Linked DNA regions of Macaca fascicularis. The protein of the gene in region 1 purifies or fractionates together with the protein of each later gene. This does not show direct contact. Links are inferred from orthologs where the notes say so. Each region holds a gene or a part of one and is shown in the gene's direction. Other genes may lie near its edges.

What was found.
Region 2: the proteins of XIAP (region 1) and XAF1 purify together in Homo sapiens (affinity purification with western blotting; 5 studies listed by BioGRID). This does not show direct contact. The link is inferred for Macaca fascicularis from reciprocal best matches to the Homo sapiens genes XIAP and XAF1.

The regions. Positions count from the first base shown.
Region 1 is NC_088395.1:130,086,596-130,092,960, forward strand, and holds the start of XIAP (E3 ubiquitin-protein ligase XIAP), read left to right. Parts: upstream 1-2,391; 5' UTR 2,392-2,462; exon of another isoform or gene 2,463-2,726; 5' UTR 2,727-2,853; exon of another isoform or gene 2,854-3,111; intron 3,112-6,365.
Region 2 is NC_088390.1:6,803,877-6,809,498, forward strand, and holds part of XAF1 (XIAP-associated factor 1), read left to right. Parts: intron 1-1,554; coding exon 1,555-1,896; intron 1,897-4,296; coding exon 4,297-4,353; 3' UTR 4,354-5,622. UniProt on the Homo sapiens protein: Seems to function as a negative regulator of members of the IAP (inhibitor of apoptosis protein) family. Inhibits anti-caspase activity of BIRC4. Induces cleavage and inactivation of BIRC4 independent of caspase activation.

The DNA.
Region 1 (6,365 bases):
ATTACAGTCCGAGAGAGATGCACTAAGGTCATAATGGTGGAGTCGAGAATTGGTTATATTCTGGATTCATTCTGAAGATAGAGATGACAAGATTTGCTGATGGATTGGATGTGGGATATGAGAGAAAGGAATTAAAGATGACTTCTAAGGGTTTTGGAGGAATAGGAATTACAAAAATGAGTTCAACATAGATCTTGCCATAAATGAGCTTACAACATAGGAGAGATAAGGTGTGTACACAAGTGCTATATATACTACATGGCAGAAAGCACTCTGCTCCATAATAGAGGGACAAATTTAAGTGCCAAGTATAACAAAAAAGTTCTGGAGATGGTCGCACAACCATGTGAATACACTTATTGCCACTGAAAAATGGTTAAAATGGTAAATTTTCTTTCTTTCTTTATTTTGAGACGGAGTCTTGCTCTGTCACCCAGGCTGGAGTGCAGTGGCGCTATCTCTCTTCACTGCAAGCTCCGCCTCCCACGTTCACGCCATTTTCCTTCCTTCAGGCTCCCTAGTAGCTGGGACTACAGGCGCCTGCCACCACGCCCAGCTAATTTTCTGTATTTTTAGTAGAGACGGGGTTTCACCATGTTAGCCAGGATGGTCTCCATCTCCTGACCTCGTGATCCGCCCGCCTCGGCCTCCCAAAGTGCTGGGATTACAGGCGTGAGCCACCGTGGCCGTCCTATGTATTTTTTTTTTTTTTTTTTTTTTTTTTTTTTTGAGACGGAGTCTCGCTCTGTAGCCCAGGCTGGAGTGCAGTGGCCGGATCTCAGCTCACTGCAAGCTCCGCCTCCCGGGTTCACGCCATTCTCCGGCCTCAGCCTCCCGAGTAGCTGGGACTACAGGCGCTGCCACCTCGCCCGGCTATTTTTTGTATTTCTTAGTAGAGACGGGGTTTCACCGTGTTATCCAGGATGGTCTCGATCTCCTGACCTCGTGATCCGCCCATCTCGGCCTCCCAAAGTGCTGGGATTACAGGCTTGAGCCACCGCGCCCGGCCGTCCTATGTATTTTTATTTATTTCTTTGTTTTGAGACGGAGTCTGGCTCTGTCACCCAGGCTGGAGTGCAGTGGTGTGCTCTCGGCACTGCAGCCTCCGCCTCCCGGGTTCCAGCGATTCTCCAGCCTCAGCCTACCAAGTAGCTGGGATTACAGGTGCACACCACCACACCCGGCTAATTTTTGTATTTTTAGTAGAGACGGGTTTTCACCATATTGGCCAGGCTGGTCTCGAATTACTGACTTCTGGTGAACCACCCGCCTCGGCCTCCCAAAGTGTTAGGATTACAGGCGTGAGCCACCGCGCCCAGCCAAAACAGTAAATTTTATGTCATGTACATTTTACCACAAGAAAAAAACAGTGCTTAAAAAAAAGCAAAAACAAAAATTAGAGAAGTGCCACTAGAGTTCAGAGCATGAAGGGATTAACTTCAGCTAAGAAAATCAGAGAAGGCTTTGTGTACGAGGATGGGGGGGCAGGCACAACGAGTAGTTCTGATTTGTTAGAAGATAGGGTAGGGTGCCCAAGGGGAGAATAAACATGCAACTAAGAGTTTTAAGAAAAGTCTTTCCTCTCCTCCCTCCCAAGTTCCCTTGTTGTGAAGGGAGGATCATATCTTGCATCACTTGATTTCATTTGAAATGAAATATTCAGAATCCATCATCTCACCACATTACCCTGTAAGATCCCATTTTCCTGAAACAAAAATTCCTATGTTGATCTGACAATCCTACAACGCATTTGAAATAAATCCAGGATTTATTTCAGCATTTTATGTACACAGACTTCCTTTGTTTCCTGTCCATCTGCTTTCTTTTTCCTCTATTAATTTTCCCTTCACCTCCCAATCTTAACCCCCGCCATTCCCCCAGGGTCTCCTTTTCTTGTCATCCCCTTCATCCTTTCCTTCTTGGAAAAAGATCCGATTCTAACCTCAGTTACCTTACTAGCCGCGTGATACTGGGATAGCTATCCCCTCTGGGTCTCAGTTTCCTTTGTAAAATGGGCTTATTAAATCCCCAGAGACAGTGCTTATCTTACAGGGTTGTCAACATTACAACAAAGACCACGTTATATGCCTAACACAGTACCTGATCTATAGTAAGAACTCAACATTTTCGCCCCTTCTCCTCCTCTTTTCCGTCCTTGTGCCTTTCTTCCCCTATTCCTCAACCCCAGGGCCCAACAGGTAAAAACCGTGGGAAAAACCATCCTTGAGGCCAAAAGAAGAAACGCAGGAGCTAGGGGCGGAGAGTACGAGGTGCTCACTGCGCATGTGCGCCCGCTAGGTCAGGTTCTGGGTTCCAGCTGGGAGGGGGGGCGGGGGGGTGGGGTTAGGGGTTGCAAGGGCCTCATTTTTTCTTACTGCCCCCTTCCGGTTCGGGAAGGTGGGGGGACCTTGGCGGTGCCCGGAGCCGGCGTGGCGCTCATCGAGGGACGCCCGGCTCAAGTGGTAAGTTGGAAAATGGCGGAGGGGGGGGAAGAAGGAGGGGCTTTGCAGGGCAGGAGGCTGACCTCCCGGCCGGGGGTGGGAAGGACACAGCCGGGGCCCAGTGGCGCAGCCCGGGCCCGGAGACTGACGGACAGCGCCTGGTGTCTCTTTGAGGCCCTGACGTGGACAAACTTCGGGTTTCACGACTCCGGGTTTCTCCAGCGGATGGGCAGACCGGTGGAGGCGCGTGAGGGAGACGAAGGGACTTCCGTTTCCTTCACCTAGGCTGGGGCCAGGCCGCAGAACGGAGTTGGCATTTCCAGATTGGGGCTCGGGCCGCGCCTCCTCCGGGACCCTCCCCTTGGACCGAGCTGATCGCCGCGGGGCAGTTCGGGCCGGCTGTCCTGGCGCGGTGGGTACAGCTTGTGTAGGCTTTCGCCTCCTCCGCTTTCCCTCCTTACCCTCTTCTCCCTCCCCTCTCTTCTTTTCCCCTCCACTCCCCTCGGGCCGGCGCTGCTGGGGAGGGCGGGAAGGCCGCGCCCGCCTGGCAGAGGTGGCCTGGCCCCGGCTGCTTGCCCGGGTTCCTCGGACTGCCGACGGCAGGCGTGGGTGAGTGGGTGGGTGACTTCAGGCCCGCGGGACTGCCTTCCTAAACCCTGTGACACCTAAGGTAAATTGAGGCAAATAACTTTTTTAAAAAATATGATCAAAGGGATTTCCTCCCCTTGTGATACCTGTGGCTTGTGTGGAGCAGGGTGGAGTGTGTCTGGAGAGGGCATATGAAACAGAAAGAATAAGGGCCAAAGAGCTTCCGGAAGAGGAAATTAGCTGGTAATTCTTTCCAATCTGCTTTCCCAGTCACCTCTCCGGCATGTTCTGTAAAACAAAATGTAATTTGATTTTGTTTCATTATTTTAACTCCATAACACTTAAATTATTTTCTTTTCGGGGAGGGGAGTGTTTATTCTCAAACTAAGCAGTAGCACTCTCCACCTCCGAAAAAGGAAAAACGTCAACCCAAGCTTTGTTAAAAAAAACCCCAACCAATCAGATTTTAATAATCTACTACTTTGCTTTCAAATATAATTATGTCGCTAGTTCTGTCACAACTATACTTTGATAGTTTAATGACTCACAGAAATTTGTAAGACTGGAGGTTTCAGTAGTGTTTCTTTTCCTTTTTTTCCCCATAATATTTATTACAGTCAATGAACAGTGTTACAGACGGCCATCTTAGAATTATAACATTTTAGAGTTGGAAGGGATCTTAGTCAAACCCTGTCCTTTTACAAAACCAGAAACAACGGCTTAGGGAGATTTCATAGCTTGCTTAAGGCTATCCAACTAGTTAAATTAGAACCCATGTTATCTGGCTTCTTGCCCATCACTTTGCACAGTTGCTCCATATCGCCTCCAAGCATGAAAATTAAATGTATTCAATTCAACACACATTTCTGAAGAGTATAATACTTTGTACCAGTGACTGTGGTACCACTTTCTATGTATTTCAATGTATTTAACATGCTTATGGAGTACTTGAGCTTCCCCCCCACCCCCACATTCAAGAAGTGGCAACAGTTTAGATTTATATACACACCTTCACATGTATGTGTGTATACTTGCATTTGCCTAGATAGTTTCTTGAAGGATACACAATAAAAATGTTAACAGTAGTTACTTATGGAGAAGAGAGGTAGAAGACTTTTTACTTTGCACTTCACATGACCTAATGTACGGTTTGAATTTGTTATAAATTTGTATTGATTTCATAATTGAAAAGTTTTAAAGTTCACACCTTCCCACACAAATATATATATCAACATAGGCAAATATATACCAATGGTACATACACATATTTATGCACATATATGTATTTATACATATCAGTGGTTTGTACTGTAAAATCCAGTATGATTCAGGTCAACTCAGCTGACAAAGCAGGCCTCTATTGGATACTCATGTTTCATTTTCTTGTATTGCTCTCTCCTAATGTAAGATAGTAAAAATAATATGTTACTAGTTGTCATATATTTTTAGAAATTGTCCTAAGCTTCTTGATTATCAAATAATGTAGCAAACTTTTAACACATTTAGAATATCAGATTTGGGTACTTGCTTCAGTGGTAGCACATATACTAAAATTGGAACAATTCAAAGAAGATTAGCATGGTGTTTTTTTGTTTGTTTGTTTGTTTTTGAGACGGAGTCTTACTCTGTCATCCAGGCTGGAGTGCAGTGGCACGATCTTGGCTCACTGCAGCCTCCGCCTCCTGGGTTCAAGTGACTCTCCTGCCTCAGGCTTCCGAGCAGCTAGGACTACAGGCACGCGCCACCATGCCCGGCTAATTTTTGTATTTTTAGTAGACACGGAGTTTCTCCATGTTGGCCAGGCTGATCTCGAACTCCTGACCTCAGGCGATGCACCGGCCTCAGCCTCCCAAAGTGCTGGGATTACAGGTGTGAGCTACCTCGCCCGGCCGGTCCCTTTTTTTGTTTGTATGTGTGTTTGTGTGAGACAGAATTTCGCTTTTGTTGTCCAGGCTGGAGTACAATGGCGCCATCTCGGCTAACTGCAACCTCCACCTCCTGGGTTCAAGTGATTCTTCTGCCTCAGCCTCCCAAGTAGCTGGGATTGCAGGTGCCCACCACCACACCCGGCTGATTTGGTCCCGTTTTAAATAAGCAACAACAACAACAAAAATTTGACACCTGACGCTGTGGCTCATGCCTGTAATCCCAGCACTTTGGGAGGCCAAGGCGGGTGGATCACCTGAGGTCAGGAGTTCCAGCCTGGCCAACATGGTGAAACCCCATCTCTACTAAAAGTAAAAAACTAGCCGGGTGTGGTGGTGTGCGTCTATAGTCCCAGCTACACAGGAGGCTGAAGCAGAAGAACTGCTTGAACCCAGGAGGCAGAGGTGGCAGGGAGCCGAGATCGCACCACTGTACTCCAGCCTCAGTGACAAGAGTGCACCTTTGTCTCAAAAAAAAAAAAAAAAAAAAAAAAGAAATTGATACAATGAAAATATCTGCAGCCTGGGCAACATGGCGCAGCCCTCTCTCTAATAAAAATACAAAAATTAGCCAGGCGTGCTGGCTTGTGCCTGTAGTCCCAGCTACTTTGGGGAGTTGAAGCAGGAGGATCACCTGAGCCTTGGGAGGTGGAGGCTGCAGTGAGCCATGATTGGGCCACTGTACTCCAGCCTGGGCAACAGAGTGAGACCCTGTCTCAAACAAAACAAACAAACAAATCAGAATTGTAGACTCTTTGTAGGTAAGAATATATGTTTTTTTAAAAAGTGAAGACTAGGGCCAAGTACGGTGGCTTTCACCTGTAATCCCAGCACTTTGGGAGGCTGAGGTGGGCAGATCACCTGAGGTCAGGAGTTCAAGACCAGCCTGGCTAACATGGCGAAATCCCATCTCTACTAAAAATACAAAAATTAGCTGGGTGTGGCGGTGCACCCCTCTAGTCCCAGCTACTTGGGAGGCTGAGGCAGGAGAATCACTTGAGCCCATGAGGCAGAGGTCGCTGTGAGCTGAGAATGGAACATTGAATTCCAGCCTGGGCCGCAGAGTGAGACTCTGCCTCAAAAACAGATAAATAAAAATAACATAAAATAAAAAGTTAAGACTAAAACAGTTTGCAGTGATTAGGAGTTCAGCTGTCTAGTTTTGTTTTTGTTTTTGTTTTTGTTTTGAGATGGAGTTTCGTTCTTGTTGCCCAGGCTAGAGTGCAATGGTGTGATCTTGGCTCACCTCAACCTCTGCCTCCCGGGTTCAAGCAGTTTTCCTGCCTCAGCCTCCCAAGTAGCTGGGATTACAGGCATGCACCACCATACCCGGCTAATTTTGTATTTTTAGTAGAGACGGGGTTTCTCCATGTTGGTCAGGTTGGTCTCGAACTCCCGACCTCAGGTGAAA
Region 2 (5,622 bases), on another chromosome or scaffold:
TTAATAGCCTTATGTCTCTTAACCTTTCATATTTTCTCTATTTCTATCTCCTGTATTCTGGGTAATTTCTTCAAATTATCTCCAAGTTCATTCATTCTTTCTTGGCCAAATCTAATCTGCTGTTTTTAGCCCATCCATTTAGATTCAATACCTGCATTTTTCATGTCTAGAAGTTCAGTTTATCTTTCTTTCAAATTTGCCTATTTTTGTTCTCACTACAAAAAAAAAAGATAGGTATGTGAAGTAATGGATATGTTAATTAACTTGACTTAATCATCCCACAATATATACATATATTAAAATATCACATGAATATATAAAGTTATTATTTGTTAATTACAAATTAGAAAATTTCTAATTTGCCTATTCTGTTTTTCATGAGATGTTATTCTTTTCCCAGAGTTAACCATTTTTTATTAATTTATTTTACAGTCTCTATCCTATAGTTGCATAACCTGAACTTCTTGGAGGCTAATCTTACTACTTTTGTGTCTGTGATTCTTACTCAAGGTGGATTGCTTCCCTGTGTGTTTGTAATTTTGGATTGTGAGTTTTTATGTGGCGGGACTCTACCTATGAGGATCCTCTATGACCTATTTTGAGGCTCTTGTCCCTCCAGAGGAATTTTGTGATTGCTTCTGCCAGACATCTCAATGTTTGTGTTAATTCTTCTGCTCAGGGATTCCCAGACCATGAGGCTAAAGTAAATCCTAATGCCAAACACAGGAATGGCATGGACCTGTGATTTTGAGTTTTCAGGGGCATGAGTTTTCTTCTCCACACTCAAATACCGGCCCAAGAAAGAAAGGCTTCCTTGCCACCTTCCTTTTCTCATTAGGTGATACTTTTCCTCTTACCCACCACAATTTACCCTTTAAAGCTTCCAGTTTTATGCAGGGTCAATAGAGTCTTACTTCCAATTCCCCTCCTGTGTGAATGGGATTTCCTCTCATCCAAGCCCCTAGTTACAAAATTGACCCCGCGTCTCCCATAACCAGTGTCAACTCCTGTGCTTAACCAGTCCATTTGTGCTGTTATAACAGGACATCACAGACAGGGTAATAATAAAGAACAGATAATTATTTCTAACAGCTCTGAAGGCTGGGAAGTTCAAGATCAAGGCACCTACCATTTGGTGTCTGGTGAGGGCCTTCTTGCTGCCTCCTAGCATGGTAGAAGGCAAAAGAGTAGAAGGCTGGAGCCAAATGCTTCATGAAGCCTCATTTATAAGGACCCTAATCCCATTAACAAGGGAGGAGCCTTCATGATCTAATCACCCCTAAAGGCCCCACCTCTTAATACCATCACGTTGGCAACACCTGAATTTTGGAGGAGACACATTCAAACCATAGCAACCAGTCAGACCTTCATTCCTGGAATGCAAAATTTTCTTTCTTTCCCGCAAAGCCAGCTATTAAATTGAATGTCTGTCACATTTTATACAGCATATAACAGTGTTTACAGTGGGAATTTTTGTGTTATCTAGTCTACTGTATTTTCTGACCATTAAAGCTGAAGTCGTTTTAAAATTTGATATATTATTCACAATTGCAGGGTAAATGTTGTCCGGACTCAGAGTTTAAGAAATGCTTTCCTGTTGGAAAGCCAAAAATTCTTCCTTCATCTCTTCCAAGTCAAGCTGCTGAAAATCAAACCTCCACGATGAAGAAAGATGTTCGTCCGAAGACAATTAGTATAAACAGATTTCCTCTTCATTCTGAAAGTTCATCAAAGAAAGCACCAAGAGGCAACAACAAAACCTTGGATCCACTTTTGATGTCAGAGCCCAAACCCAGGACCAGCTCCCCTAGAGGAGATAGAACAGCCTATGACATTCTAAGGAGATGTTCTCAGTGTGGCATCCTGCTTCCCCTGCCGATCCTAAATCAACATCAGGTACTCAGCCTCTGTTTTCTGCTTACCGTGCTGTACACCATCTGCACAGTGTCTCTAAAAAATCCAACATCTGAAAGCCACAACAAATGTTGTGACTGAAAAGGCTCTTTTCTCTGACTCCTGCTTCTCTGGGTGCCCAAATGCACTCTCTCGTAGCACTTACCACCTGGTTTATTTGCATCACCTCCGAGAAACTGAGTCACCTTTGACTCAAGCCAGGTCTTTGAAGGTGGAGCCAGGTCCCTCATCTCTGTGTCTTTAGCTTCTAGGCCAGGGATTGACATACAGCAAGTGCCCCAAAACGGTTGAGTAAACGAATAAAGCAGTGGATACCCAGTCTATCTCTCTCATGGTGTAGACATGCCAGTGAGGCCCAGAGATGAGATGTCTTGGTCAAGATCCTAAGCCAGTCGGTGGCTTACCTCCAGCAGATCAAGGTTTGCTTCAAGAAGATCAGGGTTTGTAGGCATCTCCCTGAATATCCTGATTTTTACATCCTAGGTTATTTTCTTTTTTTGAGATGGAGTCTCGCTCTGTCGCCCAGGCTGGAGTGCAGTGGTGTGATCTCGGCTCACTGCAAGCTCCGCCTCCCGGGTTCACGCCATTCTCCTGCCTCAGCCTCCCAAGTAGCTGGGACTACAGGTGCCCACCACCTTGCCTGGCTAGTTTTTTGTATTTTTTAGTAGAGACGGCGTTTCACCGTGTTAGCCAGGATGGTCTCGATCTCCTGACCTCGTGATCCGCCCGTCTCGGCCTCCCAAAGTGCTGGGATTACAGGCTTGAGCCACCGCGCCCCGCCCGTCCTAGGTTATTTTCTAGTAATAACAACAATTGACATTAGACGTTGTTAACCATGGTGTGCCAGTTACAATGCAGAGCTCTTTATAATCTTCATCATAAACAATAGGCATGTATTTCATCCCCATTTTAGTGATAAGGTAAAGTAGCTCCCCAAGGGCTGTACAATTAGAGGGTGGCAGGATCCAGCCTGAGTCCCCATGTATATAGCTCCAAAGTTTATGCTCTTAAGCTCCAGACTAAATGCCTCACTTAAAAAAAATTTTTTTTTTCAAAATACAAAAGTACTAGATTTTGTTGGAGCTAGTTAACATAATATCATCTAAAGAAGTATAAAAGCAAAGCTAACCCTACTTCTCCAACCCGTACCCTGAGATACCAATTTGGACAGTCTTATGGGCATCTTTTCAAAGCTCTCTCTTTGTGTATACAAACCTAAACAAGGTTTTACTCGTTTCTTTTTCTGCACATACTATCTTACTATACCTATTACTCTGCCACTTGCCTTTTTCACTTAGTATATGATGCATGCTCCTTACAAAAGACTTAGTAGGCCAAAACCTTTTTTTTTAACTTCCTTATGCATCTATGTATGCACATAAGCATATAATTTTACAAAAATGCGTTGATTTCATATTTGCTGGGGGTGTTACTAGTGCCTTTTTTCCTGGCCTCCCACGATTTGGTATATTTCCTTTCACAATTTTCTCCATCCTTATATAACAGAGTTGCCAGATTTGGCAAATAAAAATACAGGACAGTCAGTCAAATTTGAATTTCAGAGAAACAAAGAATTGCTTTTAGTATAAGTATGTTCCATGCAATGATTGTTTTGCTGAAATTAAAATTTAACTGGGGCACCCTGTATTTTATTTAGCAATTTCTTACATGACCACATACAAACATACACATTTGGAGTCCTGTTATATACATTTTTTTAACTTTTTTTTTCTTTCTTTTTTTTTTTTTTTTTGAGACAGAGCCTTGCTCTGTCCACCCAGGCTGGAATGCAGTGATAGGATCTTGGCTCACTGCAATCTCTGCCTCCCAGGTTCAAGCGATTCTCCTGCCTTAGCCTCCTGAGTAGCTGGGATTACAGGCATCTGTCACCAAGCCCAGCTAATTTTGCATTTCAGTAGAGACGGGATTTCACCATGTTGTCCAAGCTGGTCTTGAACTCCTGATCTCAGGTGATCTACCCACTTCGGCCTCCCAAAGTGCTGGAATTACAGGCGTGAGCCACCACGCCTGGCCAACATTTCTTTACATCCTAATGTAAATTCAGCAATACCCAAGGAAATCCCTACAAGCCAAACAATATGGCTTATTTTTATTTTTATTAATGGCTGCCTATGATTCCATGGTGTGAGTGTTCTCCCATCTGTCCCTCCACCCAGTGATAGCAACAGGCCCCTGCTAAACTTTGTTGCAAGCCTCCTGTACTCCTGGCTCAGTGGGCTCCTGACCATTTCTGTGCCATTACACTCCAGTCTTTGGGCAGGGCTCATGCTCTGTAACAAGGGACAGCAATATCCAGAGATATTCTAGGAGCTAGCACTTCCTACTTTAACCATATCAAACTTTTTTATATCTATTTCTTAGGAGAAATGCCGGTGGTTAGCTTCATCGAAAGGAAAACAAGTGAGAAATTTCAGCTAGATTTGGAAAAGAAAAGGTACTACAAATTCAAAAGATTTCACTTTTAATACTAGCTCTCCTGCCTGCTTGCTGGGGTGGTCTTGTGAAACGTGATGGGTTTTATTCGTTGGGCTTTAAAAGAAAAGGTTTGGCAGAACTAAAAACAAAACCCACATATCATCTCAATAGATACAGAAAAGGCTTTTGATAAAATTCAGCTTGACTTCATGTTAAAAACCCTCAACAAACCAGGCGTTGAAGGAACATACCTCAAAATAATAAGAGCCACCTATAACAAAACCACAGCCAACATCATACTGAATGAGCAAAAGCTGGAAGCATTACCCTTGAGAACTAGAACAAGGCACTTCAGTCCTGTTCAACATAGTACTGGAAGTCCTTGCCAGAGCAATCAGGCAAGAGAAAGAAATAAAAGGCAACCATATAGGAAGAGAGGAAGTCGAAGCATCTCTGTCTGCAAATGATATGATTCCATACCTAGAAAACCCCATGGTCTTGGCCCAAAAGCTCCTAGATCTGATAAACAACTTCAGCTAACTTTCAGGAGACAAAATCAATGTACAAAAATCAGTAGCATTTTTATACACCAACAACATCTAAGCTGAGAGCCAAATCAAGAACGCAATCCCATTCACAATTGCCACGAAAAGAATAAAATACCTAGGAATACAGCTAACTAGGGATATGAAACATCTCTACAACAAAAATTACAAAACACTGCTGAAAGAAATCAGAGATGACACAAATGGAAAAACATTCCATGCTCATGGATAGGAAGAATCAATATTGTTAGAATGGCCATACTACTCAAAGCAATTTATAGATTCAATGCTATTTCTAACAAACTACCAATAACATTCTTCACAGAATCAGAAAGAAAAAATGCTTTAAAATTTATTTGGAACCAGAAAAGCACCCAAAAAGCCAAAGCAATCCTAAGCAAAAAGAACAAAGCTGGAGGCATCATATTACCCAACTTCAAACTATACTACAGGGCTACAGTAATCAAAACTGCATGGTACTGGTACAAAAGCAGACACACAGGTCAATGGAAGAGAATAGAGAGCCCAGAAATAAAGCTACAAACCTACAATCATCTAATCTTTGACAAAGTAGAGAAAAATAAGCAATGGGGAAAGAACTCCCCATTCAATAAGTGGTACTGGGATAACTACCTAGCCATATGCAGAAGATTGAAACTGAACCCCTTCCTTACACCAGGTGCAAAAATCAAGATGGATTAAAGACTTAAACGTAAAACCCCAAACT